Linked DNA regions of Mytilus edulis. The protein of the gene in region 3 purifies or fractionates together with the protein of the main gene of each other region. This does not show direct contact. Links are inferred from orthologs where the notes say so. Each region holds a gene or a part of one and is shown on either strand. Other genes may lie near its edges. The genes, in order: ran GTPase-activating protein 1-like, nuclear pore complex protein Nup50-like and importin subunit beta-1-like.

Region 1 (11,613 bases), on a different chromosome or scaffold from region 3:
ATATACGTATTCAACATTTTAAAGAACATTTTACTATTAACAATAACCACAAAAAACCTATTTCTCGTATCAAACATAAACTAAAAGAACTAGCCAAGAAATTTGTTTTTGTCCCGGCCGATAAAGCTGCTAATAATATTATTATTGTTTGACGTAAATTTTAAATTGAGGTTCTGAAAAAAGAAATCACCAATTCAACAACATTCCAACTGACTCCATTTTCAGAAAACGACATCTGTAACAAACATAAACTTTTAGCTACCGCTTTACAAGCAGAGCCAAATACAATGAAAGTCCCAACTATGTACTGGCTTCCGAAGCTACACAAAACACCTTACAAATATAGATTTATTTCGTCTTCAAGCCATTGTTCCACTACTAAATTGTCTATTCTTCTTACCAGCACACTTGGTACAATTAAAAACTTGATAATAAATTGTTCAAATAAGGCCTTCGAAAATAGTGGAATTAATTACTTTTGGAGCGTCAAAAACTCGTTGGAAGTACTTGATAAATTACATGCTTATATTGGTGATTTTAAATCTGTTCAAAGTTTTGATTTTTCTACCCTATAGGTCATTTTTTAGTAGCAATAAACAAAAAAACTATGTCAATTGGACATGCTTTGATACTATATATGCCCTTAAATTTTTACTAGATAACATTTTTGTTCGCTTTGGGGATTCCGTATATCGTTAGATTATCGGAATTCCAATGGGGACTAACTGTGCAACACTTATTGCGGACCTGTTTTTGTATTGCTATGTGTTACATTTTATGACAAAAATAAGCAAAGACCCATGAAACAACATCTGATAAACAAATTTAATAATACTTTTAGATATTTGGATGATATTTTGGCTCTCAATAATGACGACTTCAGTATGTATATTAAGGAAATTTATCCTGTTGAACTTATTTTAAATAAAGCTAATACTAACAATGACCACTGCCCTTTCCTCGATCTTGATATCTATATCACTAACGGAAAGCTGAATACTAAATTTTATGATAAAAGAGATGATTTTTCATTTCCTATCGTTAATTATCCATTTTTAGATGGTGACGTTCCCTTGTCACCATCTTACGGTGTTTATATATCTCAACTTGTACGATTCGCTCGTGTATGTTATGATGGTATGATACTAAACCCCTAACGGGAAGGATTGTGCCTTTCAGTCAGTTTAATTGAAGTCTGGAGCTGGCATGTCAGTTAACTGCTAGTAGTCTGTTGTTATTTATGTATTATTGTCATTTTGTTTATTTTCTTTGGTTACATCTTCTGACATCAGACTCGGACTTCTCTTGAACTGAATTTTAATGTGCGTATTGTTATGCGTTTACTTTTCTATTGGCTAGAGGTATAGGGGGAGGGTTGAGATCTCACAAACATGTTTAACCCCGCCGCATTTTTGCGCCTGTCCCAAGTCAGGAGCCTCTGGCCTTTGTTAGTCTTGTATTAGTTTTAATTTTTAAATTAGTTTCTTGTGTACAATTTGGCAATTAGTATGGCGTTAATTATCACTGAACTAGTATATATTTGTTTAGGGGCCAGTTGAAGGACGCCTCCGGGTGCGGGAATTTCTCGCTACATTGAAGACCTGTTGGTGACCTTCTGCTGTTGTTTTTTTCTATGGTCGGGTTGTTGTCTCTTTGGCACATTCCCCATTTCCATTCTCAATTTTATTTTCTATTATTATGGTTTCTATTACAATATAAAAAGAAATGAATATCATCTTCATTTTGTTTACAGTTTTTGCATAATCTTTCTTCTCTTGGTATTTTAAGGTATCTTCCCTTTTCTATTAATAGATTATGATCACTTAATCTAAATTTTGTTATCAGTTTTCTGAATTCAAGTTTTGAGCAAGTTAAATATTTTTCTTCTGTATTATTTATTTTTACATGTTTATAAATAGTGAGTTTGCTGTTATCCTTTATATCTGATAGTTTATCATTTACTAGTTTTTCATAAAAATGCTTCAATTTTAATTTTATTTGTTCTCTTATATTTTTAGTTATCTTTTGTGAGGAATATGTTTTCAAAGTGTCCAAACCCATACCAGTTTCTTCTACTATATGTTTTACATATGAGAACCAAGAATAAATTCCTGCCGAGTCTAAGTTTTGAGACAAAATAAAGGATTCTTTTAAAAGAGGATTAATTTCATCAGAATATAATCTAATAAGATACAATATAGATTGAAATTTAATATTAAGTTCCAGAGGAAGTCTCCCCAGATCAGCTCTTGCACCTAAATTTGATGAAGTTTTCCTTATACCAAGTGTATATTTACAAAACTGAAGGTGTAACTTACAAGCAGGCAATTTTGACATTAATCAGATATCTATTAATCCCATTTTTGTTGATATCTTGAATGGAAATATTACTGAATTAGAAATCTTGTAAGCGATGAGGAATTTGAAAAATAACCGAAGGCTCCTGGTTCAGAAAAAATATTTAATGAATTTTTGAAAAATTCACCTCCTGTTTTTGCATCATTATATTGTAAATCATTCCAGACTCTTGGACAAGTGGTGTTTTAAACCCGTGTTACAAAAAAAAAGGCAATTCTTTCAGACCCTGATAATTTTAGAGCTATAACACTTATCAGCTGTTGGAAAAATTATTTACTTTTATGATAAATTCCAGACTAAATTTGTTTGCGAATGCAATTTCTATTATACAAGACAATAAAGTTTTTTTTAGAAAAGAATATGCACAACAGATAGTATTGTTGTGTTACATGCACTTTAGAATTATATTTTTTTCCTTTGATTTTTTTGTACATTTATTGACTGTAGAAAAGCTTTTGACGCTATTCGAAGAACTTGCTTATGGCAATACCTATATCTTCGTAAAATCAAGGGCAAAATCATGTTGCAAAGTTCTTTTCATATGTATCAAGGTAATATTTTTTTTTGGTTCAATATAATGATGAAAATTAGATTTTCCCCCATGTCTGATTGGTGTTAGACAAGATGAGAACTTGTCTCCTTTTCTATTTTCTATTTTCTTGAACGATCTGGAATAATTTAATGATTTAGATGGTATTCCTGTAGAACTTTAAAGGAAAAATTAAAAACGGGCTACATATATTTTTTTGAATTGTTCGTAATACTGTATGCTGATGATATAATTATTTTTTTCAAAAACAAAAGAAGCTAGGCTTGCAAAATTCCTTATATATTTCCCCGTTGTACTGCAAAAAATTTGAACCTGAAGGAGCGTGTTAAGAAAACTAGAGTTATGATATTTAGCAAGAGGAACTCATAACAAAATCTGAAATTTACGTGGCAAAATGATTTACTTGAAAATGTAGATACATTTCCGTATTTGGGTGTCATTTTCAAATATAATCGGGTACATTTTTTGATATCAAAGAGAAACTTTGTAGATCAAGCCCAAAAGATCCAGCACTGTTTACAAAATAATACGAAATGAACCTTTGCCCATTGATCTACAATGTAAACTTTCTGATTCTATGATAGAACATATCTCACTGTATGGTTCTTTAGTTTGGGACTTTGAAAAACTGAAAATTATCGAAGAGACTCACTTAAAAAAGGGCGCTGAAAGTTATATTAAATAGTGTATTTTTCTATTTTTGTATATATGTTATGTTTGTCACAGATCATGCTTTTGATTTATATGGCAATAAAATTATTTGATTTGATTTGATATAGATAAAGGCAACAGTAGTATATCGCTGTTCAAAACTCATAAATCCATGGACAAAAAACAAAATCGGGGTATAACATCAAAATCAAATACATGAATTTGGGATAGATACGTACCGTGACACGTCTTAAAGTAATGTGAATTCACACTAAAAAATAAGAGAAAACAAACGACACAACGGAAACACAACGTTAAAATGTAACACACACAGAAACAAACTATAATATAACAATGGCCATATTCCTGACTTGGTACAGGACATTTTATTTTTAAAGGAAAAAAAAGTTGGTATAAACACTACGCCTATTTTTTTTATGGTTAATGGAGAATTGGATAGATTTCCTCTAGCTGGAGATAAAGTTGAAAATTAGAATGATATTTTGGTTTAAAATTGCAAGTAATGAATGAAAGCAGTTTACTCTGTAGACTGATGCTTGGTTTAAAGCCTAAATCTTTAAATAGATAAATTGTATAGGTTGACACAATAATATTAATCAGTACTGGCATTGGATATATTTTTGCATTTAAGGTTTACTTTAGAAACATACCTTCTAAAACTTCCTGAATATTGCAGGCTTTGAGTTACACATTTTCGGTGTTCAAATCTGCGTCTGTCTATTGCATAAAACAGGCAGATGGCAAAATATTTCGATACATGATACAATATGTACTTTGTGTAGGAGTAATATTGGTTATGAATTTCATTTGTTATTAAAATATACTTATCAAAATATTATTGTTTTAAATGAAAAGTTTCGACCAAGCTACTACACAGTGAATTCTCATTATAAAAAAATCAAAGGTCTTCTTTCAATATGTAATGTACAACTGTATAAACGACTTTTTTGTATTTATCAAAAACATATTTCTATACTATTGCTATATCTAAATGATATGTACCGATTATCAGGTTATCTGCATGTTGATATCGTAAAATATCAGCTGCGAGACATAATATGAAGCTTTTTGTCGAGTGAGCGTAGCGAACGAGATCAAAAAGCCTTCATATAATGTCAAGCAGCTGATATTTTACAATATAAATATGCAGATAATCTGATAATCGATTTATCGGGCTATATTTGCGTGTTTCGGAAGTGTTTTCTTTGTTTCACCAGCACACAAAAGATGACTTGATAAGTTCGGGTCAAAGTTATTAACGTCGGTTCAAACATTATGACGTCGCTGATATGTCCGGGTCAAAGTTATTAAGGCCGGGTCAACGTATTTGACGTCACAAAGACATGATACGGAATAATATTAAGAGCTGAACAGAGTGATATAGACAGTGGGACGACCGATAAATCTATGTTATTGATACCACATGTTTACTTCGTCGTGTTCGTGTGATGCTAATATTAATAATAATAATCTGTATTGCCATATAAACAAATGATACATGTTTGTGACAAACTAAAACAAACAAAAACTAACATACACTCATACATATACCGGTAATAAATAATACATATATCAATTGTTGCAAGTATAAAATATAGTGACAAGTCAAAACACAAATTACAACATATCAATATACCACAAAACTTTTAACCATGGTATATATCAAGAGTCCACTGTCCTCAGTTCTATTGACTGTTTTAAAAAGAATGACATCTTGCTGCACGAGGGGCGTAAAAAGAGGCCAAGTATTTGCACAGAATCACAAATAAAAATTTCTTGCAAGATGATTTTTTTTCCGATTTCACGAAACACTGTGAATAACGAACCTTTTGCACGGCTGCGCGTGAAATAAAAATGGTACTTGAAACACGTACGTTGCACGAAAATAACCCTTTACCATCCTCTAAAACATGTATCTGTGTCTGAGTGTTCAAATACAATCTAGAAATCTTGAATCTTGTTTCCTTTGTGTAAGGGCGATAACTCCATTGACTTTTATTATATACAAACATGTAAATATTATAGAACAAGTATATGATAATAACTAAACATGTAAAATGGAACCAATGTTCTCACATCTCAACATCCGTTATGTTTTTACCTTCTAAACTATTCAAAATGTGAAAGGGACGAGTCACAGACACAATAAACTATAAAAGACCTGTAAACAAAAACAACCTAGAATTATTGTATTTTCTGTCTCTGACAATGCAATCTAACAAAATTATTACAAAATTACTGAAAAAAATCATACAAAATTATTACAAAATTACTGAAAAAAATCATACAAAATAATTATAAAAAGTAAAAAAAAAATAACAAATTAACTGACAACTAACAAACCAAAAACCAGAAACATATATGTACCTGCACATACTTAATGTATTTAAGAAATAAACAAGGCCAAAGAAATATATACAAAATATACTGAAACCAAGGATTTGTATAGATCTAGCCATGATACAAATCCTTTAAAACTGAAACGCAACCCGGCGGTGAATACATTAGCTAAATTTATTTTTTTATATATTCGAAATCTTATGCAAAAAAACCAATAGTGGTCGTAAGAACTCATGGCACAGTACACTAGATGTATGAAAAAGTAGTTCTAGCCAATCTTAAAAACATTTTTTTTTAATGTGGCGATATTTGATTTTGGGACGAATAAAGCATTGGGCGATATATAAATATTCATGGTATTTGGTCAGACCATTGAAACGGAAGTAACAAACAGCGCCATAAACTTGAAAGCGAGAAGGCCCAACTGCCTTGATTTTACAAATATTACCCTTAAAATGTCATCAAAAGACTTGACATCAGTAACTGAACAGTTGGCAAAGACCAAAGTTAATGAAACATATGAACTAAGTTTCAAAAATAAGGGACTGAAGCTAAATAGCGCTGCTGATGGTAATCATAAATAACAACAGAACAAACAAACAAAACAAAAACAAATATAAGTTATTAAGCGCATTGTGTTGACGTAGCACCCGAATGGATATACTAAGCTAAAGGAAAGTTTCATGCTTACTCATTCACTGCAATGCTACAAACTTTGGGCCTTATTATACACCTTAATATCCAGGGTTTCCCCAGTGGCAATTTTCTTTTTCGCCACCTCGTGCCAAAAGCAGGTGGCAGTTAGGTCCGCTGCTGTATGCCCTGAGGTAATCGGTGCCCTGAGGTAATCGTGGTAATGCGTCATTGATTAAATACGCACGAAAATATAGTTCTTATTTAGATAGATCTTAATACCAAATTTTAATGTGACCAAATACCAAAGATGTCAACAAACTTCCCAAATGATTTTATTATTTGTTTTCACCGATCATTCATTTCGTATGTACGTGTAGGGTGGGGATGGCTGGTAAAATTATAAACTTTTTTTTTTTTTTTTTTATAAAAGTTCAATTAATGATCTGAAGTATTCATTCATGACAGGGTTACCTGAGGTAACCCCAATTATAACAACAAATACAACCATTAAACTCAAGTCAACTGAGGTAACTTTATATATACATCACATAAACAATACAAATCTATGAAGTCCTACATTCTATTATAAAATTAAGAAATTGTGTAATTAAAATATAAATGTATACACTAGCAAAGTATGTACTAAAAATTCTTTCATAACAGGGTAACCTGCGGTAACCCAAACAATAACAGCAAATACAACCTATTTAACTCAAGTTAATTCAGATCACCTTTACATATACATCACATAAACAATATAATTTCAATGAATTCCTACATAACAAAAGAAGAAAGTGGTTTATTACAGCATAAATGCATATACTAGCAAAGTATCTACTAAGTATTTTGTTATGACAGGGTTACCTCAGGTAACCCATAAAATAGCAACAAGTATTATCCATTGATATCAAGTTAACTAAAGTCGCTTTTCCGATATGTCACATAAACAATACACATCTATGAGGCGTACATGTAAAATAAAGAAATTGTTTGATTACAACATAAATGTTTTCGCTAGCAAACCATCTAATAAGATTCTTTATAACATGGGTACCTGAGGTAACCCCAGATATAATTACAATTATAACCCACTTAACTTAACTGAAGTAAACTGAGATCACCTTTACATGTAAATCAAATAAACAATACAACTTTCATGAAGTCCTACATTTGAAATAAAGAAGTTTGTTTATTACAATAAATGTAAACACTACCAAAGTATTACGAAGTATTCATTCACGACAGGGTTACATGAGGTAATCCCAATAATTACAATAAATACAACCTATTCAACTCAAGTTAACTCAGGTTACATTTATATAGACCTCGCATACACAATACAAATCTATGAAGTCCTACATTTTAGATTAAGAAATTGTGTCATTACAGCATAAATGCATATACCAACAAATTATCTACGAAGTATTCTTTCATAACAGGGATACCTCATGTTATTTCAAAGATAACAACAAATATAATCCATTCAAATTAAGTTGACTAAAGTCGCTTTTCCTGAATATCATATAAACAATACTTATCTATGAAGTCCAAAATGATAAAGTAAATGGTTTATTAGAAGTTAAATGTATACTCTGGAAAACTATCTACGACGTATTTTTACGTGACAGGGTTACCTCAGATAACCAAAACAATCACAACAAAGATAACCCATCTAACTCAAGTTCACTCAGGTTACCTTTAAATACATATACATCACATAAACAATACAAATCTATGAAGTCCTACATTTCAAATTAAAAAATTGTGGAATAACAATATGAATGTATACACTAGCAAAGTATCAACTTAGAATTCTTTCATAGCTGGGTTACCTGAGGTAACCGAAACAATAACAGCAAATACAACCTATTTAACTCAAGTTAATTCAGATCACCTTTACATATAAAATTGAGAATGGAAATGGGGAATGTGTCAAAGAGACAACAACCCGCCCAAATAAAAAACAACAGCAGAGGGTCACCAACAGGTCTTCAATGTAGCGAGATATTCCCGCACCCGGAGGCGTCCTTCAGCTGGCCCCTAAACAAATATATACTAGTCCAGTGATAATGAACGCCATACTAATTACATCACATAAACAATATAACTTCAAAGAATTCCTACATTAACAATTAAGAGGTTGGTTTATTACACCATAAATGCATATACTAGCAAAGTATCTACTAAATATTCTGTCATTCACGGTTACCTCAGGTAACTCATAAGATAGAAACAAGTATTATCCATTCATATCAAGTTAACTTAAGTCGCCTTTCCAATATATCACATAAACAATACCCATCTATGAAGTCCTTCATTTAAAATAAAGAAATTGTTTGATTGCAACATAAATGTTTACACTAGCAAACTATCTAAAAAGCATTCTTTATAACATGGGTACCTGAGGTAACCCCAGACATTATTACAAGTATAACCCACATAACTGAAGTTAACTGAGGTCACCTTCACATGTGCATCACATAAACAATACAACTTTCATGAAGTCCTACATTTAAAATAAAGAAGTTTGTTTATAACAATTAATGTAAACACTAGCAAAGTGTCTACGAAGGATTCATTCATTACAGGGTTACCTCAGGTAACCATAACAATAATAGCAAAGATAACCCATCTAACTCAAGTTAACTGAGGTCACCTATATATATATACATCACATAAACAATACAACTTTCATGAAGTCCTACATTTGAAATAAAGAAGTTTGTTTATTACAATTAATGTAAACAATAGCAAAGTATCTACTAAGAATTCATTCATTACAGGGTTACCTCAGGTAACCATAACAATAACAACAAATACAACCCATATAACTCAAGTAAACTCAGGTATCACCTTTAAATATATATAAATCACATAAACCATACAAATCTATGAAGTCCTACATTTTTGAATTAAGAAATTTTGTAATTAAAATATAAATGTATACACTTACAAAGTATATACTAAGAATTCTTTCATAGCAGGGTTACCTCAGGTAACCAATACAAAAACAACAAAAACAACCTATTTAACTCAAGTTAATTCAGATCACCTTTACATATACATCACATAAACAATATAACTTTAATGAATTCCTACATTAAAAATGAAGAAGTTGATTTATTACACCATAAATGGATATACTAGCAAAGTATCTACTAAATATTCTGTCATGACAGGTAACCTCAGGTAACCCATGAAATAGAAACAAGTATAATCCATTCATATCAAGTTAACTTAAGTCGCCTTTCAGAAATATCACATAAACAATACACATCTATGCAGTCCTACATTTAAAATAAAGAAATTGTCCGATTACAACATAACTGTTTATACTAGCAAACTATCTCAAAAGCATTCTTCATAACATGGGTACCTGAGGTAACCCCAGACATAATTACAAATATAACCCACCTAACTGAAGTTAATTGAGGTCACCTTAACATGTGCATCACATAACAATACAAGTGTCATGTAGTCCAACATTTGAAGTAAAGAAGTTTGTTTATTACAATTAATGTAAACAATAGCAAAGTATCTACAGAGAATTCATTCATTACAGGGTTACCTCAGGTAACCCAATAATAACAACAAATACAACCAATATAACTCAAGTTAACTCAGGTATCACCTTTAAAAAAATATATGTATCACATAAACAATACAAATCTATGAAGTCCTACATTTTTAAATTAAGAAATTGTGTAATTAGAATATAAATGTATACACTTACAAAGTATATACTAAGAATTCTTTCATAGCAGGGTTACCTCAGGTAAACAAATATAACCCACCTAACTGAAGTTAACTGAGGTCACCTTTACATGTGCATCACATAAACAATATAACTTTCATGAAGTCCTACATTTAAAATAAAGAAGTTTGTTTATTACAATTAATGTAAACACTAGCAAAGTGTCTACGAAGGATTCATTCATTACAGGGTTACCTTAGGTAACCATAACAATAACAACAAAGATAACCCATCTAACTCAAGTTAACTGAGGTCACCTTTAAATATATATGCATCACATAAACAATACAAATCTATGAAGTCCTACATTTCAAATTAAAAAATTGTGGAATTACAATACAAATGTATACACTAGCAAAGTATCTACTAAGAATTCTTTCATAGCAGGGTTACCTGAGGTAACCAATACAATAACAACAAAAACAACCTATTTAACTCAAGTAAAATCATATCACCTTTACATATACATCACATAAACAATATAACTTTAATGAATTCCTACATTGAAAATGAAGAAGTTGGTTTATTAGACCATAAATACATATACTAATAAAGTATCTACTAAGTATTCTGTCATGACAGGGTTACCTCAGGTAACCCCTCAAATAGTAACAAGTATTATCCATTCATATCAAGTTAACTTAAGTCGCCTTTCCTAAATATCATATAAACAATACACATCTATGAAGTTCAAATTAATAAAAAAGTAAATCGTTTATTACAACTTAAATGTATATTCTGGAAAACTATTTACAAAGTATTCTTACATGACAGGATAACCTCGGGTAACCATAACAATAACATCAAATAAAAAATACAAATCTATGAAGCCCTACATTTTTAAATTAAGAAATTGTGTGATTAAAATACAAATGTATACACTAGCATAGTATCTACTAATATTTTTTTCATAACAGGGTTACCTGAGGTAACCCAAGCAATAACAGCAATTACAACCAATTTAACTCAAGTTAATTCAGATCACCTTTACATTTACATCACATAAACAATATAACTTTAATGAATTCCTACATTAAAAATGAAGAAGTTGATTTATTACACCATAAATGGATATACTAGCAAAGTATCTACTAAATATTCTGTCATGACAGGTTACCTCAGGTAACCCATGAAATAGAAACAAGTATTATCCATTCATATCAAGTTAACTTAAGTCGCCTTTCAGAAATATCACATAAACAATACACATCTATGCAGTCCTACATTTTAAATAAAGAAATTGTCCGATTACAACATAAATGTTTACACCAGCAAACTATCTCAAAAGCATTCTTCATAACAT
Region 2 (11,024 bases), on a different chromosome or scaffold from region 3:
ATAAAAAGTACAAAATACTAGTAAATCATATTTTAATTATTAATTTTATTGTAAATCTGTTTTTACTATCCATAATTGTGTAATGTGACGTGCGCATTCATAACCACTCATACGAAACGACACAGAAATATTGGGTTATTTTTGGGAAAATACACAAATAAAACCAACGAAACAATTAATAAATAAATTCATATTCAAAGATATTCAAATAATATACAATAAAATTAATAGCAATAAATGTTGACTCGATGCAAAATTTAATACACAACTTTGTTTTGCGATATGAAAATAAGAAAGTTGCATTTGAAAACCATTGGTTGTTTTTACCTGATGATTTTGAATAGCCGACTTCAGCTGCACTTGAATTAATTCTAGCTCTGGAGTTGTCATCATAGAATATATCGGAATCAACAGAAATATTTTACTCTGTTTTAATTATTTTTTTCCTTAAAAACAAGAAAATTACACAGAGCAACACATCACGGGCACATAACGATCACTGACCTCTTCCGTTTTGCGGAGAATATGCTCAAGTTTCTTCAAAATTTAAATATGGCATATATAGTTCAAAAAGATGTCATATTATGAACCATTGGTATATCAAAAATCAGAAAAAGGATAGTAATTTACCTTACTATTTAACTGAAACAGTTTTTGCACAGAATTATTTTGACACGCGGATGCATCGACAGTCGAACCACTGTGCTCCACTACGTGTAAACGTGTTAGCGAATACAATCTGGAGAATGGTCGTTAATATTCTTAAATCCGTTGAAATTTAATACATGAGACCACTTGAAACTAAACACTGTACTGTGTTATACCAGTCTCAGAAATTACTAATGATTTACAACTACATATACATTTCCTTATATAAAAAGAAGATGTGGTATGATTGCCAATGAGACAACTATCCACAATTAAAAGACCAAAATGACACAGACATTTAACAGCATTTAACTCATTTCTTTTAGCGTGCTCAACCATGTTGACCACCGAGCCTCCTTAACCGATAAACGGGCATTGGAAACTTACAAGAGAGTTCCTACACAATATATGAAATTTTAAAGATATAACTCATATAATTTTAGATATAAACTCACAGTTGATTAACTTCCTCCAATCGGAAGCAGTGACCACGACATCGTACTATTGGGCCTAGCTAGCAGCTAAAGTAACATGACCAAAACCAACCAGTTTAGAACCATCAACCTCTGGAAATATGCCAATATGGAGTGGAAATCAAGAAAAGCCTTACTGAGTAACTTCACTGAATTCAAGTTAAACAAGTGAAACTGCGAGCTACTGCTCACTGATGATACCCCCGCCGCAAGTGGATAATATTAATAGTGTAAAAATATGGAAGGGTTCGGTAAACAGGAAGTTGTCGAGTGATGAATCTGAAAACGCATCACACGGTATAGCTGACTTATAAAAATCCTGAAACCAAATTTCAGAAATCCTTGTATTGTAGTTCCTGAGAAAAATGTGACGAAAATTTTTAACTTGGTTATCATGTGTAAAATCATACAAGTGTTCGGTAAACAGGAAGTTGTCGAGTGATGAATCTGAAAACGCATCACACGGTAAACCTGACTTATATAAATCCTGAAACCAAATTTCAGAAATCCTTGTATTGTAGTTCCTGAGAAAAATGTGACGAAAATTTTCAACTTGGCTATCATGTGTAAAATCAGACAAGTGTTCGGTAAACAGGAAGTTGTCAAGTGATGAATCTGAAAACGCATCACACGGTATGGCTGACATATATAAATGTTGATACCAAATTACAGAAAGGGTGGATGTGTAGTTCCTGAGAAAAATGTGACGAAAGTTTCATGGGACGGACTGACTGACGGACGGACTGATGGACGGACAGACAGAGGTAAAACAGTATACCCCCCCCCCCCTTTTTTTGAAGTGGGGTATAATCATGCAATTTCAGTGATATCAACGCAATGTGGAATAATTTCAAGAACATCATCATGAATGTAATGACCACATACGTACCAACTAAACAGACTAAAGAGAGATACAGCCACCCTTGGATGAACACACAGCTACGTAAAATTAGCAACAGCAAACAGCGTGCATACACTATGGCTAAAAGATCTAAAAACACTAGAGAGAGATTGGCCTGTATTTTATTTGAAGAAAACCACTGTTTTAAATAATTGCTGTCTTCTTTAAAAGCAAAAATTACATCTTGTCAAAGTATCTGTATCTGTATTCCCAAAATGAAATTCTGTATGTGGATGTATACGTCACAGATTCCTTTCGGCATGATTGTGTGACGGTTAGTCTGCGCACAAGCAAGTTCGTCTGAGGAGTGCAGTTTTAAACTCCCGTCAGTTGTAGGGACGCACACTACCGAGTCATCTAGACCACTCTACTGCAGTGCGCATGTTCTTAGTGATAAAGTTGTTAAAGGTTGTAGCCCTTAGTGTCGTTTTAGTCTGTGAAATTTAATAAGGTCGTCCATGAGAGGGAGCACTGGTATCTTCCCATTAAACACTTTGAAAAATAAAATCAATCATTGTTGTTGACGGAAGCTGCAGTTCTTATAGAATTTTTGTCATACATCCTTTCTCTCTTGATTTGTATGCTTTAGCGATGAATCGAACCCCTCCCTTTTGTATGGATTCTAATTAATCTATGTCCTTTTGCGTATATTGGTCTCAGATAATTGATCCATACTCTTTAACGGATCTTATTAGTGATATACATGCTGTTTTACGGTATTCCTTAGGGCAGTGTTGTATATTTCTCCTAAGGAAGCCTAGCTTTCATGGAACTGGCTTTGTTAGTTGAATAACACTTGTTCTAGCACGTGGTTATTAAGGTTGTAGAACTGCTTGAATTTGCTTTCTAGGCTTAGCAGATCCCCCCCCCCCCCTTTTAGCACATATAAAGCATTTTTTAGCGTTGAAGCGCATACCCCAGTCGTTGGTCTATTTTTCTAGTGATTTGAGATCTTCTTGTAGCCGTTTGTTATGTTTATTTTGGTTTTTGATTTTTGATGTCCCTGTACAGCAAGCAGTCGTCTGCAAATAGTCGGACTGATGAGTATACTGCATCTGGAAGATCATTTATGTGACAAAAAAAAAGGATGGATCCTAGATCTGTTCCTTGGGGGATTCCGGATTCAACTGAGGCATTAGTTGAGTGTTCTCCTTTTATATGTTCTAGTTGGACTTGCATTTTTCTTTCAGTTAGGAATTAAGTTAGCCATTTGTGGATATTTCTTCTTATTCCATATTGATTTATTTTGTGCAGGAGTCGATCATTAGGTACAGTATCGAAGTCTTCGATAAATCCTGGATCGCATTGACGGTCTACTTGGTTTCCCTTGTCGTATGACTGGAGCATGTCGTTGATTGGGATGGAAATTAGGTCTCCCCTAGAATATCCAGATCTAAATCCATGGTTTAAAGAAGTCAATACATTATGCTTGTCAAGGTGTTTAAGCTAGCATATGTCTGCATATAATGTGCTCAAGTAGCTTACATGGTACTGATGTTAGCGAGACTGGCCTATAGTTTCAGCCTCCTTTCTTGAAGATCCTAGAGATGTTGGCATTTCTCAAGTCCTCTAGTAGAGTACCACTGTCTCTAGGGATAGCTGGAATATTGATGTTAGTATCAGTGTGCCAGATGTTCTGCGCATTGTTCCAGTACTCTATTTGGTATATTGTCTGAAGCTTTGGATGGGTTGATGGTTAGCAGCAGTTTTTTTTCACTCCTCCTGTTCTGATGGTAATTTGATATATGGAGTCTTTTACCCTGATGCTTGTTTTGGGTAATGTTTGTGTTGTTTCTTTTTTGAAGACAGACGCAAATTGCTTCAGAAGAATTTGAGTCTTCTCCTTATTTTCGTTTATGAGCTGTCATTGTTTCTTAGTTCATTAGAGCTGATGTTAAATCATTTGTCAAATATAAATTATATTTACAATTCTCCCAAGATTTTACATAGGATACTTTTAAACAACTACGCAAAGTAAACATTTTCTGAATTTGTATTTATTAAAGTTACTAGTACAAGGCAGATCAATAATTTTACATAGGTGTCTGACACTGCTATACCAACTATTGTGATTTTGGGGTCAAACCCATAATCCAACAGACCCATAATCCGACAGTCCCGTAGTCCGACAACCCGACAGTCCGACACGCATTCACTTGTCTCTGAAAAGTCAAGTATGGCTTTAAATACATGAAAGTGATTTTTTTTACACAAAAAATTGTCAAATCGATCAGTATGGCGTCTTCTCACCTCGAACCTGACCAGTATTCTGCGGGTGTGACCCTAGAAAAATAAATGACCCGTTGTCACCTGGATTCAAAGCCTTCAGACTGATTTCATATTGAGTGATTTTCCTTAGCAGAACCGGTAAATTCGTAATTCTCCTTGGACAATACATTCAACTAGTAGCTTTGTAAACTCAAATTAACTGACCCATGTCAGTGCATGGCTTCACTTGACAGCTTTGGTGTACATGTCAAACACACTGTTGATAAACAGTGGCGGATGCAGGAATTTTCGAAAGGGGGGGTGCTAGCCCAGGGCAAAGGGGGGGTGCAAAACATATGTCCCGATTCAAATGCATTGATCGGCCAAAATAAAGGGGGGGGGTGCGGACCCCCGGAACCCCCCCTCTGGATCCGCCACTGATAAACAGCCATTACCTAAGCTTAAGGTCGTAAATAATTTGTTTATTTCAAGTTAAATTGTTTCCCCTTTCACAATATATGTAACCCTTCAACTTAGGTTGTTTTGATTTTTAGCTTATCTGACCTGAAAGGTCAAGTGAGCCTTTCTCATCACTTGACGTCCATCGTCCGTCGTCGTTAACGTTTACAAAAATCTTCTCTTAAACTACAGAGACAAAACTAACCAATTTTAGCCATAATCACCATTAGGGTATCTTGGTAAAAAAAAATGTTCGATGACCCTGCCTTCCAACCAACACCCATCTCCGACAAGGGTAAAATTAGAACATAAATGTAAAAGGCAGTTTTTGGTTTATACCTCTGAAACAAAAGCATTAAAACAAAGCTGATGGGTGTAAAAAATGTTCATCAGATTTAGATTTATCTGCCCTGAATTTTTCAGAAGAATAAGACAACCTCTTGTTAGGTTGCTGCCCCTGAAATAGTAATTTATAGAAATTTTTTAGTTTTTTGTTATTATGTAAGATATAATTATAGTGTCTAATGATATTGTATATCGAATACTGTTGATTATGTTTAAACCTTTTTTCAACATGATTTTCAAAGCATCATAAAATACAGGTGAGCGACACAAGCTCTTGAGAGTCTCTAGTTTGTGTAAAAGATTAAATCTAGAATGCAAAATCATACTTTACTATTTTTCTAGAACAATTAACTGTTGTGAAATAAAAAAATAAAAAACTTTTTACTGAAAGTACGCATAAAAAAAACTTTTAATTGCATTCGGCCTTTTTATACCCGAGAACACTATTTTGAATAAAGCCTTAGATCTACAGATCTCTAAAGATTTAGATAATAAAAATCACGGGAGCGTAGCTATAATCTAAATCTTTTAGAGATCTGTAAAGCTTTATTCAAAATAGAGTTCTCGGCATAAAAAGGCCGAATGCAATTTAAAAAAAAGGTTTTTATTATGCGGACTTTCTGTTATATTCATCCTGTCTTTTGTGGAGCACCTCAATTTTTGTTGACCGAAATGTTTTCTTGGACTACTTTTTAAACATATTTTTTTAAATAAATTTTATTTTCATATATATTCAAACATAAAATGATCGAAACTTAACCAAATGCAACAAACAACAATACGAAAAAATATGTGTATCAGTTTGATAAATTTAAGACATAAACATAAAAAAATCTTAACAGTTTCCCTTTTACTTAGAGGCGTAATGATTTCCAACATGTCAGCCTCCATGGGGATCATTCTGCAAAAAATTGAACTGTAGAAATATTGAAGTTAGACTCGATAGACCTTTAAAGAAACAAAATTTTGTTGATTTTAAGGATAGCAGTAGTCAATTACATCATAGATAATTATTTGAAAGAACGGAGAGGTGTGTACTGCTTTTCTCGAAGTCCAATTTCCACAAGAGTTATTGACTGGCAAATATGGCCGTTTTTACACAAAAAAAAACCAAACTCTTTTAAGTAAGATAAACCACGTGCAACTGGAAGAGATTTGAATCATAACACATTGTAGATGAATAGAATAAGATTGGATAAATTAAGGTTAATGGAGTACAAGTTTTCCTCTCTTCATGTATTTTGTTTCCTTTGAACTTATAAGCATGAAACACCTTTATTTCGCTAATCCCCGCTGACCTGGCCGTTTGAATTTTTGATGTCATACAACAATCACTTTTCCATTGTGGCGTCAGATATTTGGTTTATGACGTTTGAATTTTACGGGAACCTGTGTGATACATCATGTACATGTATACAGTGGGGGTCTCATTGGGGGGTTCCGATCCCGGATCCCGCTTACTGTTTTGTCAGATTCCCGTATCCCGCTTACACTATGTACGTAAGCAATTCTCATTTTTTTTGTCATTTCCCGGGTCCCGCAAGACCTCATTTCCCTTTTTCACCCCACAATAATTTTTTTACTTTTACGTGTCGCGCTTACAAAAAATCGGCAATCCCGCGTCACGCTTAGACCCCAATGAGACCCACTACAGTAATGGCGGACAAATAGCGATAAGGTGTACATTGCAAATGCTAAGCTACTAAATAGGGCTCTTTGACACATTCCCCATTTCCATTCTCAATTTTATTTACTCTTCACAGTTAGTTGGGCTATATTGGATTAAACTATAGTGTACTATATAAATGGTTGAGCTTTGGAAGTACTTCTTTTGCTCAGATGGTTAATACTGAAGCAATTCTCATATTTTTTGTTCTCACTGAAAAGGTTTGTTAAATGAAAATAGTGCTGAACGTTTAGAAAGTCACAAACTAGTGCTGAACGTTAAGAAAGTCACAAACTAGTGCTGAAATGTTGAGAAAGCTAATAGAAAAGTGCTGAACTTTGAGAAAGCTCTTTAAAATAGTTCTAGAGGTAAAGGGGTAGGGTTGAGATCTCACAAACATGTTTAACCCTGCCGCAATTTTTCGCCTGTCCCAAGTCAGGAGCCTCTGGCCTTTGTTAGTCTTGTATGATTTTTAATTTTAGTTTCTTGTGTATAATTTAGAGTTTAGTATGACGTCCATTATCACTGTACTAGTATACATATTTTTAAAGGGGCCAGCTGAAGAAAACCTATGGGTGCGGGAGTTTCTCACAACATTGAAGACCCATTGGTGGCCTTCGGCTTGCCGCTGTTGTATGCTCTGTGGTCGGGTTGTTGTCGCTTTGACACATTCCCCATTTCCTTTCTCAATTATACTGAACACTGAGAAAGGTTCTAAAATAGTGCTTAACGTTGAAAAAGCTCATACAAATAGTTCTGAATGTTGAGAAAGCTTGCAGTAATGAACTCGATGTCCCAGGTTAGGGGGAGGGTCAGGATCCCGCTAACATGGTTAATCCGCCTAACATCAGATGAAATTTTATTTGAATATTCAATTTCAATTTTATCTTTCTTTTAGATATTTATCTTTAACTAAAATATGGCAAAGAGACGAGCAGATAAAGAATTAACTGACAGAAATTGGGACGATGCAGATGAACCAGAAGAGGTTAGTTAGGGATTTTACTGACTAATTCATATATGTAGGTAATATTTTTATCATGGAATTTTTCAAGCGCCAGGTTACGCAAAATAAGGTAAAAGAATTTTCTTAATTTCATTGAAAAGTAACGAAAAATGAATTGTATTCCTGTATCAAAATTTGCATGCATACGTATAAAGATCTACACTGATTACCTAGTAATTTATTCTATTTATAGAATAGGAATACCACCATAAAGATATTTTCAACATGTATTCAAATTTAGTTCAATCTGACATAAAGTAGTTGACCTGTTACAAATTATGAGTTTCTTATCCACATGAACCATATTTATTATACATGTTGAATATACCTGACACATGTCGATAAGTACGTACATTTTTAGATAGTCTATAACACTGTATTTTTAACTTTACATATTGTTGAATTTCAGGCAGGGGAAATCCAGCTTGCCACTGAAGAATCATTAAAAGGAAGACAAATTCTGAAAGGAAAAAGGAGAGGTGCAGCTCCAGTTCAGGTATTCCAATGTATTCAATTGTGCTAGTTACTGGAAGTTATAAAAATATTGTAATAAAAGAATAACCATCTTTTTCTTCTTAGTTTCTAACGTAGAGTGCAGGAGTTTGTAGGTTCCATCCCTAGTAGGATCAACATCTCTGAAATATGTATTTGCTGCCTCTCTGCAGTGTATATTATTGCATTGTGGAATAACATCAAAGAGTGGTCGGCTTTGATTCAGAATAATGTGTTAAAGTAGGGTGACAACTGATATAGGAAGATGTGGTATGAGTGCCAATGAGACAACTCTTCATCCAAGTAACAATTTATAAAAGTAACCCATTATAGGTCAAGTTACGGCCTTCAACACAGAGCTTTGGCTTACACCGAACAGCAAGCTAGAAATTAGTGCCCCAAAAATTACTAATGTAAAACCATTCAAACGAAGTCTTCTTGTAGATTGTACATGTACCTTAATCTTTTAAATGCTTTGTAAAAGAAATATATACATTTGTACATTGATACAAAATGGAGTGATATGAGTACATCCTGAAGTTAGTTTTTATTTCTTTATATATTTTGTCCCTTTAAGCAACTAATATTTATAAATTTCAGTTATAGATTTGATATTAAAAACCTTCTTTCTTTTTAGAACAAAGAATTCAGTGGGTTTTCTGGTTTTAGTTTCAAACCTACAGCAGCTAGTACACCATTCTCTTTTAATGTTAGATCGGTCACCAATGGTGGGTCGGAAAAGGATGAAAAACAAACGGAGAAAACAAAAGAATCTGAAAATGGACAAGCAAAGACACTTCCACCATCTAATGGTGCTGAGAAAAAGAAAGGATCTTATTTGTCAAGTTTGAAAAATTTGAATGAAAGTGTTTTATCATGGATAAAAAGTCATGTTGATAAGAATCCATTTTGTATATTGACTCCTGTATTTAAAGACTACGAGAAACATTTAGAAGAAATAATGAAAAATAAAGATGGAGAGAAAACAGAAACTGGAGAGAAATCAAAAGGAGAAACAGACACAAGTAAGTCCTGTTAAACCACTGTAAATTCAACAGTCTTTAAATCTGGTATAATTCTTTATAATTTGCGGGCTACCAACTTTCATGGATTCTGAGCGTAAAATTGAATCAGGAGGTGAGCAAGAGTCCAGAAATGGTCATATTTGCCAAACGTAACCGATTCTGAATCTATTTGTGCCAAACGACAGATTCGGATTTGGGACAAATTTTATTTGTTTAACAAAAATAATTTTGGTCATTTCGTTGAGATTGGGTTTCTTCATCGCCATTTTGCACAGGTTTTTGTCTTGTTTTCCCTTCCCTGTAATAAAACTGCCACTCCTGTATAGTGTTATAATCCTGAGAGCCCTCCTTATAACTATATTAATGCCTCACAGATATATTGGCTGATGATCGCTAATCTCTTTAGTCTCTTTATCTGTGTTTTTAATTCACACCTGACTATTGATCACAGGCTCAGAACTAATATTATAAAGAAATTAAAATTCCATAAAAACTATCTTCATTATTTGATTACTTTTCAGCTAATACAATTGTCAATTCTGATTTAAAATCAAATGAAAATTTAAATTAATTTACATAGAAAAAGTAATTTTTACTTGACATGCATGCTTTGTTTACTACATGTATGTAATATGCATGTGTGGAAATTCTCTTTCGCAGATTCAACCACTTAATCGTAAAATGCAAAATGATTTCATGCTAAAAAAAACATGTGCAACCATTATCATTAATATTCAAACACTAACAAAGGTATAAATTTAAAAAGCAGATGATTTCCTGTCAATTTGATAACCAAACTAATCTGGGAAATGAGTACAGAATTAATTACTCGTTTTTGTATTGTCGCAAAAAGTACGGTTTGAATTTTGTCTTCAAAATGGATAGAAACTTTAGCGATGTATACACATTGGCACACCTCTATTTGAAATTAACTGTTCTCAACCCATAATAGATGTCAAATTTATTTGTTTGATGTAAGACCAGTTTTTCGTAAAATAGTAATTTATTATTTTTTACAGAAACAGCTCCAACATTTCCCCTTGGAAATTCTCTTATGTCACCAACATCTTTAACAACAGAAAACAAGCCATCTGTTGCAAGTTTTGCATTTGGTAATTCTCCCAATTCTAAAACAGCAACTACTACAGAGACCAAACCATTGGGAACTGGTTTCCAGTTTGGAGCCAGTTTAACTAAACCAACCGGGTTTGGTTCTATTCCTACTACAACTGCAGCCTTTGGTGCCAGCTCAACTACAACAACTGGATTTGGCGCAACAGCTACTGGTTTCTCAGGGTTTGGTTTCAAGTCTTCCACAGAGAGTAAACCTACATCTGGTTTCTCATTTGCTGTAAACAAGCCAGCTGGAGAGAGTGGTGCTAGTCAAGGTATATTTTCTTTGCCTCAGATTTTTAATGACTTTTAAAAAAAACAACTAACATACATGCAAGTGTTATGATAAAAGTCCCAAGATGGTAGAATGACGAAAGAGAAATAAATAACATACCCTAAGACCACTATTCTTGATACTGAGTCAATTTAAGTTAACGGTTCCTGGACATATTTAAGCTGGACAGACAGATGGAAGATGTTTTACAACTATAATATTTGATCATGATGGTCGTATATAAAGCATTCAGTTTATTATTCTTTTTATGTACTTTGTAGAAGAAGATGATGAGTATGTGCCTCCTCTAGCAGAATCTAAAGAGGTTCCAGAGGAGGGATCAGTACACTCCATCAAGTAAGTAGTAGGTTTATTTAAATCCCTTTCAATCTGAACAGGGAGATGTATGTACAC
Region 3 (11,586 bases):
CCGCCACATCGTCCATGGGACGTATCGGCCATACCTTGTGAGACGTATCGTCCACACTTTAATTTTTTGTTATTGAGGTTATAACATAAAGTATAATAATAAAATAAGTATGCATTCATAGTAATAACATAAATATGATGTGATATAAAGGCATCTTATAATAATAATAATAATAATAATAAATTCTTTATTTAAAGAGGGTAACTCAATTAGAAATAGTCTAATTTTCATTGAGGCCCTCAAACAAAATACATGCATACAGTTAACATTCATACATTCATACATTAATTTACAATATATATTACTAGTATATACACAATTCAATCATTGAAATATACAAAGGGTAATAAATGACAATATTTGATATAGTTTTGTTAGAGGAAAACAAATTAGTTGACTTGCATATAATTTTCAAGAAATATATTTTATATGAAGTTGAAACTATAGGAGTTGACTGCCGCTGTCGATGACGATATATATAAATACAAATTACAAGCACATGTTACCGATCTTTTTATTATATCTGTAAAAGGTATATTATTCTAAACAAATCTGTGATGATTTTATAGTCTACTTTTACGAGTCAAAAGATTTGTAGAGAAAATCAGTCTAAGTGAAATTTCAAACAGTACTCAGTGTAAAGGTTAACTCTACGGAAGGCAATTCGAGTTATATTTGTCCTGATCATCATATATATAGTTTAATAATTCTGTGTTTTTCTTCTTTCTTATAGTTTAGAGTCATTCCTAATAACATGATAAATTATGGTTTCAGGAATGTTCGTATTGCTTTGTTCATTGTCACGGTTGAATACTGTTTTTTTGACGATTTAGATGTTCCCCTTTTTGTGCATTTGTTGATGGAGACATGTATTATGGACTGTCTGAAGCTTATGGACAATCATACCAATATAGTATAAGAAACACAAAAAGATAATATTTTCGTTTAATATATTTTATTTATTCATTCAGTCATACAGACAAACAAATATACAACACACATATAAACCATACAGCATACACCTTCACGTTAATAATTGTAAATTTGTTTGATAATTGGTTGGCAATCACGTAAACTAATTAAAGGATTAACACCTCCGAAATTTGTAAACTGAATTTGCATTAAACAGATCAGTACTAGAGATACGCGTCCAATGATTGGATTAATATGATTTATGATGGGTTTTTGTATATGTAATCATACATAATCATAAATAACGGTCTGATCCCTTTGGCATAACAGTACTTATTCAAAGTAATAGTCAACCTCAGGAAATGAAAAAAATCTTCCCAATTTAGCATTTGCAGGAGAAATACTGATATCGGTAACAGGATAGACAAAAAGGTAACCCTTGAGGCAAGTGAGGCAATTGCCTCACTAAAATTTCGACACTGATTATTTTTTTTTTATACATATATATAAATACTAGAACACACCCGCGAAATCGCGGGGAAATAGAGCGTATGTAAACTGTAAAAAAAATATACTGACTGGAGAATTTCAGGAGAGGTATCAAAATTCAAAGGTACTTAGGGACTGGGCACATTTTTTTGCCCTCCTCCTATTTTCCAAATACAGATTTTTATACCTTCTGTTTTTCTGTACTCTATGAACATGCATATATACTTTAATTACTCAATACAGAGAATTTCAGGAGAGGTATCAAAAGTCAAAGGTACTTATATACATATGGGGTGGGGGGGGGGGTGGGGGGCTGCCCCCCATTTCGTTGAAAAAAGATTGTAGATTATATGGGGAAACATGAGAGTAACCCCCCCCCCCCCTTATGTCAGTCAACGCCCCCCCCCCCCCCCCCCTCCCTTATGAAAAGTTCTGGATCCGCCACTGTAAACTAATTGATAGTAAATAGCAAATATTATTCATTTTCGTTTTCCTCCCAAAATAACCCAAACTGAAACACGTTAAGCAAGGATGATACATGCTAGATCTCAAAATGATAGCAGAAAGCAAATTCATATACTTTATTTCATAGTCTTTGTATGTTCGAAGTACAGAAAAACACAAACCGGAAGTCTAATCTGACTTAAAGTTTTGTCCAATGACGGGAAAATATCCGGACGCATTCTTTTTCGTTTTTTATCCCAAAATAACCCAAACTTAATGATCATAAGAATGGATGACAAATGCGACTATACATGTTACCTATAGGACACAGAGGCATGATGATTATTTTCTTGTGAAAGGAGGAGAAGCGACACCAAAAATGAGGTCTTCTCGTTTAATAGTATAGATAATAGTCATTTGTTGTTCTGTCTCAACCTTAATTGCTATAACTTGTCATCATTCCTTTTAAACTATTCTTCCTGGATATAACTCAGCATCTCAACGGGTGATGTTTCTCGGTAACATTAATCTAGTAACGATAATCATCATGGATCTTTAGTTAAAAACAGGCTCTTGCAGAAAAAGGAAAAGCGACACTGAAGGTAAAGAAGGAATAATTCTAGTAAACTAGTTTTTTTTTTGTGAACAGAGTCTGAGTATTGCATATAACTTCATTAGAACAATCCAAAAACGATAAGTAGACTGACAAATCAAGTAGTGGTCTTCGGAAAGGGGCAGTCCTGTCTGCGTATTCATTTCTCCGTTTCACCAACTTTTGACAAATCAAGTACTGGGCATCGCAAGGGGGCAGTGCTATCTGCGTATTCATTTCACGAACTTTAATCTTTCTCTTTACAGATAAATAAAATATAAATAATATGAAACATGAATGCATGGATTAGTTTTTATCCATGTTTCTTTAACCTTAAAAATTGAAAGAATATCCCATATTATTGAGGAATGGTAGAACCTTATTAAATTAATTAAACACAGGATTTGTCTTTACTTATTCGGGACTACGGAATTTCGTTTCTTTATATTCGGGGTTTCGGAATCGGACACCCCAACCCCTAACCCCTAAATTTATAGATTCTGGAACTAAAATACCACCAACTATTTCCAGAAATAATTTGAAATTACGGAACTACATGTAAACGTCAAAAACTCCATTCCAATTTCCCTGTACCCATATCATATATACTTACTCTATAGATAGAATCATATACATGTATGTTATCTCATTCTATCCCTAGTTTGTCTACTCTTTGTCAGCATAAAAGCGAGTTTAATATTTTGTAACTGCGACTGATGGTGCTTACAGGAAAGCTTAATTCCCTTTTGCAAACAAAAGCTGCTACCGAATTGCTGATGGAGAAGGAATTGGAAGAAGACATTGATCATTGTGTTGATGATAATGTGCTACTTTTAGGAACACAGACTGCCCTGAAACGACTGAAAACTTGGAAAAGAGCGAGAGATTGTGCGGTCTTGCCATGCTCCATGTTCATCGCGATAAGGATATCAGAAGACCAAATTATGATTCTAAAACGATTTGACTGAACCGGCCATAGAAAAATTTGACAAACTCTTCTGAATCTATGTTTGTTCTATGTTCTGGCAGCAGACTCAAATCAGTGATATTTGGATTATTATCTTACATATAAATTTACATAAAGTTGTTAAAAATTTGGTGTTAGTAAAAGTCTTAAAATATGAAAAATTTATATAAAAAGTGTCCAATTCAAAACATTATCAAACTCTCTAAAAATGCCTAGAATGCAGGATTTTGCACCATTCATTTCATACCCTCCTCACTAAAATAAGATGCCTAGTTACGGCCTCGGTAACAGGATAGAACTTTATATATAGTGATATATCATTAACGTACCAATGAAATACAGACAAAAGTAAACTAACATGTGAGGGATTTACTTGATGTTCGGTTTCTTTGCAAGAGAGAAAAAATGCCGAACAATATGAAATGCTATCTAAGACTTGCATTACTGGTGGTAATTTGTTTAAACCTTTGAAAACCAATTTTCCAAAGTTGAAATTAATAAATCGAAATCTGGAGTACAAAAAGACAAAGTATTGTCATCTGCACAGTTATATAAACTACCATTTTTAACAAAAAGAAAAATATCATTTATAAATATGTTAAACAACAATGGCCCTAGTATCGAACCATGTGGTACGCCTTTATGGATGTCAGTCCAACCACTCAGAACATGCCTTGCTTTTAATAGCTAATTGTCTATTGGCAATATTATATTCAACAGAGTTTTTGTTCGCTACACTGTTTCTAAAAGTACATAACATTCGCTTATGAACAACAGCTTCAATTGGGATCTGACCTAGTAACAATAGAGTACCAGTATTAGCAGTTCTTTCTGGTAGGTGCTGTATTTGTTTCATGAGTTTAATGAAATAAGTACTAAGGTTTTTAATATCTTTTGCTGACAGACAAATCACATCCAATCCATACAATAACCTTGGGATTACATAACAGTTAATGAGATGAAGAGACACTTTTGGATTCATACCATTAAGGCCATGGAGGCCTGCGCCCATTAGAGCATAGACAGTTTTGCGTGCAGTTTGAATTCTGTCGGGTACAACTTCTTTTGTGCCAGTTTTTGACCCATTATCTCGTTTACTACGTAATGTATGTTTGCACTCCGCTTGAACTCTGAGTCTCAGCTTGGGTGCTGTATTTTTATAGTGATCTCGAATTAATATATTATATTTCCTTTATAATTTCTTGACAAAAGCATAATTAATACTTGTGTTCATCAAAGGAGTAATAATAAGCAATTAACAACCTTCTTTCGGAGGATTTAACAAAATTAAACATGATAGATAATGTAAAAACAGTATAGTTTATTCAAAAGTTATAATAACCATCTATAAGTATCAAAATAATTCATATATAACATCTATAAAAAATAAAAATAAAAAACCATGGACGATACGTCTTTACAAAGTATGGCCGTTTTTGTCGTGTGGCCGTTTCATCTTTTCGGGGTATGACCGATACATCCTGTGGACGTCATGGCAGTATGGCTGTCACGTCCTGCATCGGTGGACACCCGTGTTAGGTCGAGGGAAGCACGTGCATCAATATTTACTGTACATCGGGCATGGGTTCTCAGTATGTCATGGGGTGCAGTTTAATTGTTTTTCGCTTTCATGAAGAACCCACCCAGACTTATATAGATCAAGCAATTGTATGTTCAAATATACAGTTCCTTTTTTCAATACATTTCTAACCGAATTGATGTAATTTTAAAATCTTAAATAAATCTTCTAAATGTTTATGGCCCTTGACCAAAGAAAATGTAATTCTTATGTAAAAACTGGGCTGTTATATTGGTGACTGTTTTGAATTAAGGAGATCAGGTATGAGTATTGACACTAAAAGTCAAGTTAATGAGGGGGATAGGACCTTTATCGGTACTCCGGGATCGGGTGTTTTTAAGCTCGGGATTTCGTGATTGACCCCTTCGGGATCCGGGAATTCTTTTTTTCGAATTTCGGGACCTCGGGATTTTGTGTTTTTAAGCCCGGGATTTCGGGATCTGGTGTTTTTAAGTCCGGGATTTCGGGATCAGGACCCTCCTACCCTCCCTCGTTAATGATTTGAGAATGAATATAATGTAAAAAAAAATCTTTTATTCACAATAAATATATGGTTTTTGGCTTGATTTTGACCAATGCTAATATACAGTTTCTACTAAATATGTATTTATATCATGTACTCTGTGACTTTTATTGTTGTACTGACGGTTACCAATTATAATCAATTGTATCTGATTTTATGCCCTTAATGGGCCCTGTTATTTGGGAAATAAAAATATTCCGTATTCTATTCTATAGATGCAGGAACATATATATTATGTTAGATATACTGTTCCCAGATAGATGTCAGATGAATATTGTATTCTCATGCAGGCCATGCAGACTCCGGTCGAATTAAGGGCATAAACAAAGTGACGTCAATATAGTTCAAGATTAAAAAATAACATTCAATAAAATCAAGTAATATGAATCATTTAATTGTATATTTATGTTCAATACTGTCTGAGAAAGCTGGGAACAGTTTGTTAACAACTTTATGTTCCTGGAGAAAATAATTCAGTATTGTTCCAACCCGAGATTTTTTTTTTGGAAACTTTAGAATCAAATAATTTGAAATACACAAGATGACTGATGGGTGCTCTTAGACAGGTTACAGGCAATTGATATCATTCGATTGAGGCAGGGACTTTCTATACTATAAGTCCCTGATTGGGGGAATGAAAAAAATTGGCGAAACTGCAAGCTTGCAAGTAGATAGTATTCATTTTTTGGCGGGAAAATGTTTTGGCCGAATCACATTTCTTGTCGGATACATAAAATCTATTTATTATTTTTGGTAGTTAAAGTCGAAATATACCTTTTATTGTTATTCTCATTGTATTTTGAAATTCAAACAATGTCAAGTGATTCCTTTTTTTTCGAGTTTTTTTACAGTCAACTGCAAAAATAAGAAAGGATGTGAAATAGTTCATTCTGAAATAAACCTTAATTTGGTTGGATACATTTTGCAAGAATTCTGCAAATAGTTCATTTTCGTCCAATGAAAACAAGCCTTTTAAAATACCTCGGCTGACTTCTGCCGGCAAACCTTCTCTTCGCCATCTTGGATTATCACGCTTCCCACATGGGAACTGGCTGACCGGCCAATTTAAAGAAATTTCAGGAACGAGCAGAATATATAAACACATTTTTACACTGTAGACATCAAGATGGACCTTGTTAGCATTTTAGAGAAAACAATTTCGCCTGGTAATTCACTTTTTTCCACATTCATTCATTCACCAGTTGACATTGTTCACATATTTTCTCGCGGACTGCATGGGATTCTGAATATATTTTAATGTCTTTTTATTTTGTCAACATTCACTTGTTGCTTATGAAAAGATCGGAGATGTTTATTTTTCTTAAAAGAATCCATCACATAACCTGAACTAGACTGATCAACGATAAAAAAAAAACGAACACCATACTTTGTGAAATGCCAAGTAGCAAAATTGTCCATTGTATCTATTTTGAATATCAGCAGTTGAAAATGATCAATAAGGTTAAGCTTTATTTGAAGATATATGGCTATTATACCTCAGAAACAGTTATCACTAACAAAATCACGATTTTGATTTTTAAATGAACTGTACTGGTTGACCTGTATGTGATCATGAAAGGTCATTAAGGTTTATGTGGACCCTATGGCTAAAATGGCCGTATTTTCACCTCAAAATTTACTCTGAGTACAGACAAACCTGTGCATCTGTAAAAAATTCCAGGCATAGCATGCCCTAGATAAATAAATTTCAAATTTGTTTTAGAAAAATAAAAACTTACCAGAATTTTGCCGTGCACTTTTTTCATTCCTCCAGAAGGTGCCAAAATAAACTAAGTTGGGAAACAGGTTTGAGAACTTCCCCACAGGTAATAATTGAAGTGAGCTGTATTGCTTGACATGGACATGAGATGGACAATAGATACCTAACAATAATTGGTCATTTAAAGTGTGTACCTGAGTGGACCATATCAAGGTAAACTCAACTGTTAATTTTATCATCTTCTGCAGGGACGAAAAAAAGTGAACGGCAAATTCCAGTTAAGTTGTGAATTTTCTAATTCATACAATGCATTTGAATTCTATTTATCTAGGGCATGCTATGCCTTAAAACTTTTTCAGATGCACAGGTTTGCCTGTACTCAAGAGTAAATTTTGAGGTGAAAATACAGCCATTTTAGCCATAGGGTCCACATGAACCTTAATCATTGTAACTTGAAGATATTTTATTTCTGAAGTTAAAATTCTTAGTAGAAAAAGCACCAATTAGAAGTAATATATTTTCAGATATAATATTTGTTGACATGTACGAAGACACCTGCACAACTTCAATTTTGGAGGCCACTGTCTTGTTTTCAGTTTTATTTATGTAAACTATGGTCGATTCATTTGAATAGTTGTGCAATGACGGCATATTACATATAATGAAAAATCCTGGTACTAAATTTCTCTGTTAGTATCTGATGACGATATTTATTTAGCCTATTGTAGCCAGTTCTGAATTCAGACATGATTCTCCTAATAGTTTGGTTTCGGGTAATCAAGTTGATGGGTCTTGCCTACAATAGGAACTTATTCGTGTAGTTGTCTCCCAGTTTCACTTCTAGTCCATCTATTTTGCCATTTTAGTTTGGTTGACATCTTTACTGTGCTTTTTACATCAGACGTGGTTATGAAGTTTTACTGGTCATTTAGATTTGAGGCCTCCTGTGCTGCATCTTTTGCTAACTGGTCCGCTATCTCATTCCCGGCTATATTAGCATGGCCTGGGATCCAAGATAGGGTAGTTTGTATACTGCCTCTCAGGATGGTCCCAATGCTTTCTTTCATGTCTGTAATAGTGTCTGTATAGTTCGATAACTTCCAGTTGAGAGTCAAGATGCCAACCGCTGTCTGGCTATCTGATATGATCTTTATTTCAGTGAACTGTTCTCTAAGTGTGTAAATGCAGTGTTCTAGGACCATAAGGATAGCTATGAGTTCCGCTAAGAGTATTGAACCTCTTCTAGCTACTGGTCTTTTTAGGCTAGTTCCTTGTTGGTTCTCAGTATATATAACTGCTCCTGCTCCACAAGGTCGTGGATTTCCCTGACAGGAGCCATCTGTAAATGCGATAGCTGTTGACTCGGAGTTTTCTCCCATAAGTTTTTGTACTACTTGTTTGCTTTGGGCAGTTTGCTCTGCAGTTCTGTTTTTAGAGCTTCCAAAACAACTCGCAGTAGCTTGGTGCTCTCATCAGCATAAAGTCTACTCCTGCCTTGTACAGGGATCTCCATGGATGGAAATTGAACGATGGAGGAACTTTCACCATTACAAACCGTGTCTACGCTGTACAGTGTAGCGCGATTGGAAGTATTTTATCCCTCCATACAAGGAATGGTGAACATGCTAATTCATTGCTTATGTAAATTATTTGAATTTTCATTATAGAATTAGAAGTATCAATATTTTCATTTATTGCCGTTTTTAACCATTCAAATGCCAAGTCTTCATGGACCCCCTTAGTCAAGAATGACCAAAAGCTGTCATGAAGGTCCCCATGTAGATTTCTTGTATTTTTGGTAATTGTTATGGGGGTTAAAAATCATATGATGTGGAGCTTATTTTTCATGGACACTGTTAAATTCAGAACCCATTACCGGTATGGCTGATTTGCAGCACCAACAAAACGATTCGTACGGGTTATTTAAAGGGTTAAAGAGATTTGTAAAGCAAACATTGACAAATGAAAAGGTTTTTTAATGACTTTATCTGGCAAATTGATGTTGTGCAACATGCATCTTTCGAGTCTGAATAGAAACCGGAAACGCGGATGTATCAATTTGATTGTAACATACGAAATGAATTTGGAATTACTATACGATATTTCTTTACAGGAAATATTTAAGTTTTTTACTTTTAAACTTTTAAAGAAATTCTAAATTATCGTTACAGCAGGACTCGAGTTATTTGCGATGAAATAATATTTACTGTTTTGCATCTTATTTTGTAATTCTTAAAAAAGGGGGGATACTGATTGCGTAAGTCAAAATAAAGCACGTGTTCGACTTGTTAAACTGTTTTCTTTGTAACTGGATTATTAATTTATTTATTTAATCTAAATTATCATAATCATTTGCTGAAACTTAGTTGATTAATTCGACAAATGGATCGTCTATCCTCAGATAGTATTTTGTCTGGTTTGTTGATCTACCTCTACAAGCTCAGGTACAAGTGATTCGCGATCTTGATCCGGATATCCCTCAGGCGTCAGAACTGTATTATAACATAAAAGGTCTAAGGGTTATTCATGCAATTACATGCATTTGATTATAATTGATAAAAAAAATGGCGTCTGGCTTTAAAAAACGATGAAGTTTTGAACGATGGCGCAAGACAATTTAACGATGGCGCGAGTCATTTGAACGATGGCGGGTCGCCATCATTAAACAGGCCATGGAGATCCCTGCTTGTAGGTAAAACTCTGGTTCTATCAGTTTTATGTCTACTTTTGTTGTTATTAGCATATCCATAGCCTGATTAATAGCCTTACCAAATGGAGATTCTTGGTGCTCATATGTATCAGTGTTGGTAAGATATTCCTCCAGCTGTTGTTTAATTGGTTCAGCTATATTTTTGGAATGATTTTTTGCTATTCTTGGACTGATATTTTTTCCATTTCAGAGATCGATTGGTTGCATATTCTTGGGCATTATTTAACAGGTTGGAGACATTCTCCATGAATATCAGAATGTGTGATTTTAATAAAATAAACTGTTCAGAAAACCTTTTTTTACCACATTTGGGGAATAGTTAATTGTCCCCCAACCTGCAGTGATATTGTTGTCTTTTTTCAAAACTACCTCTATCGTTTTTTATTGGGGGAAAATGCATATTTTTTATTGAAATTTTGAAATTTGTTTATTTTATTCTAAACACATCTCTGATATTTTGCTGACCTTTGCTGTCTTTTTTTGCACTGTTTTTTCATGTATATTTTGGTTGTCAAACAGACGCAATGATGGTACTTAATGCATTGAAAACCACATGTGTTACAAACACCATGATGATTCTGATCAGAAATCTGGATCTCAAAAGTGCTTTCTATTATCATAATAATGACATGAATACGATATTTACAAACATTACCCTAATGCCATCACTGTTTTGGGAAAATGTAAAACTTTTTGTGAGTAATTTTAAGCCATTTTTTTAGTTATTGGAAATTTTCTCTAGGGGAAAAAGCCGAATTTCGGCTGTAATTTGAGGCAAACAATATCACTGACCTGTTAAACCATTTTCAATTGAAATTTTTACATCTTCAGATAAAATTTTCCTTGTAAATCAAATGCTTATAATTAGATATATATCATGTATATAGAAAAACAAAATATATCCATCAATGACTCAAAATCAATACATCATCATGCACAACAAAAAGAGTCCAAAAAGTTTGCTGCTGTTTGTGATGTAAATGAATATAAGTCTGATCCAAGACACTTAGCTATAGACCTCAGGCAATTGACTAAAAAAAATTATAAACCTTAATAAAACACAAGATACTTAACTCTCGAAATTTTTCACTCAATTAAATCAAAATTGATGGGTTAAAAAAACATTTCTTGAATTCTTATAACTGGAGCTCTGTTATGTCATGTGTTCTGAATATTATGCATACATATACATGTATCTAACTTGTGAGATTTGAAGTGATGATTATGCAGAAATGGAACAAGGAAAATAGTGAAGTAATTTGTGTCCATAATGGCAATAAGAAGTTTCTGAAGTGAATTTATTATTTCATGATTACAGGTTGATGACAACTGGAAATAGTTCCATACACTTATGTTTTTGTAAAAACTAATAACAAAATATTTTAACACCACCAAATTGTTTATGTATAATGTTAAAATGTATTCTTTATTTTATTACAGATCAAAATGAGTTGGAAGCTGCCCAAAGATTTCTGGAAGAGGCATCTCAAAATAATTTGGTAATTTAGATAACTACATTTTGTGACAAAAAATTAATCCGTTAAGTTAAGAAAATAGCATTGCCTGCCTTGGGCATCAATATATAGAATAACTTGCCCTCCTCAGACATGCAAGAGATTACGACAAGGAGTTTGGGGGGCTGCCTAAGAC

The links.
Region 1: the proteins of importin subunit beta-1-like (region 3) and ran GTPase-activating protein 1-like purify together in Homo sapiens (affinity purification with mass spectrometry; 3 studies listed by BioGRID and IntAct, with this or other methods). This does not show direct contact. The link is inferred for Mytilus edulis from reciprocal best matches to the Homo sapiens genes KPNB1 and RANGAP1.
Region 2: the proteins of importin subunit beta-1-like (region 3) and nuclear pore complex protein Nup50-like purify together in Homo sapiens (affinity purification with mass spectrometry; 4 studies listed by BioGRID and IntAct, counting the BioPlex papers as one, with this or other methods). This does not show direct contact. The link is inferred for Mytilus edulis from reciprocal best matches to the Homo sapiens genes KPNB1 and NUP50.

What each region holds. Positions count from the first base shown.
Region 1 is NC_092351.1:73,535,140-73,546,752, forward strand, and holds the start of ran GTPase-activating protein 1-like, read left to right. Parts: upstream 1-6,284; 5' UTR 6,285-6,375; coding exon 6,376-6,490; intron 6,491-11,613. UniProt on the Homo sapiens protein: GTPase activator for RAN. Converts cytoplasmic GTP-bound RAN to GDP-bound RAN, which is essential for RAN-mediated nuclear import and export. Mediates dissociation of cargo from nuclear export complexes containing XPO1, RAN and RANBP2 after nuclear export.
Region 2 is NC_092350.1:13,544,672-13,555,695, forward strand, and holds the start of nuclear pore complex protein Nup50-like, read left to right. Parts: upstream 1-5,890; 5' UTR 5,891-6,064; intron 6,065-7,598; 5' UTR 7,599-7,619; coding exon 7,620-7,688; intron 7,689-8,115; coding exon 8,116-8,202; intron 8,203-8,835; coding exon 8,836-9,223; intron 9,224-10,242; coding exon 10,243-10,611; intron 10,612-10,891; coding exon 10,892-10,967; intron 10,968-11,024. Other genes in the region: PHD finger protein 21A-like, read right to left, coding at 328-393. UniProt on the Homo sapiens protein: Component of the nuclear pore complex that has a direct role in nuclear protein import. Actively displaces NLSs from importin-alpha, and facilitates disassembly of the importin-alpha:beta-cargo complex and importin recycling.
Region 3 is NC_092357.1:50,291,159-50,302,744, forward strand, and holds the start of importin subunit beta-1-like, read left to right. Parts: upstream 1-6,496; 5' UTR 6,497-6,632; coding exon 6,633-6,672; intron 6,673-11,376; coding exon 11,377-11,435; intron 11,436-11,586.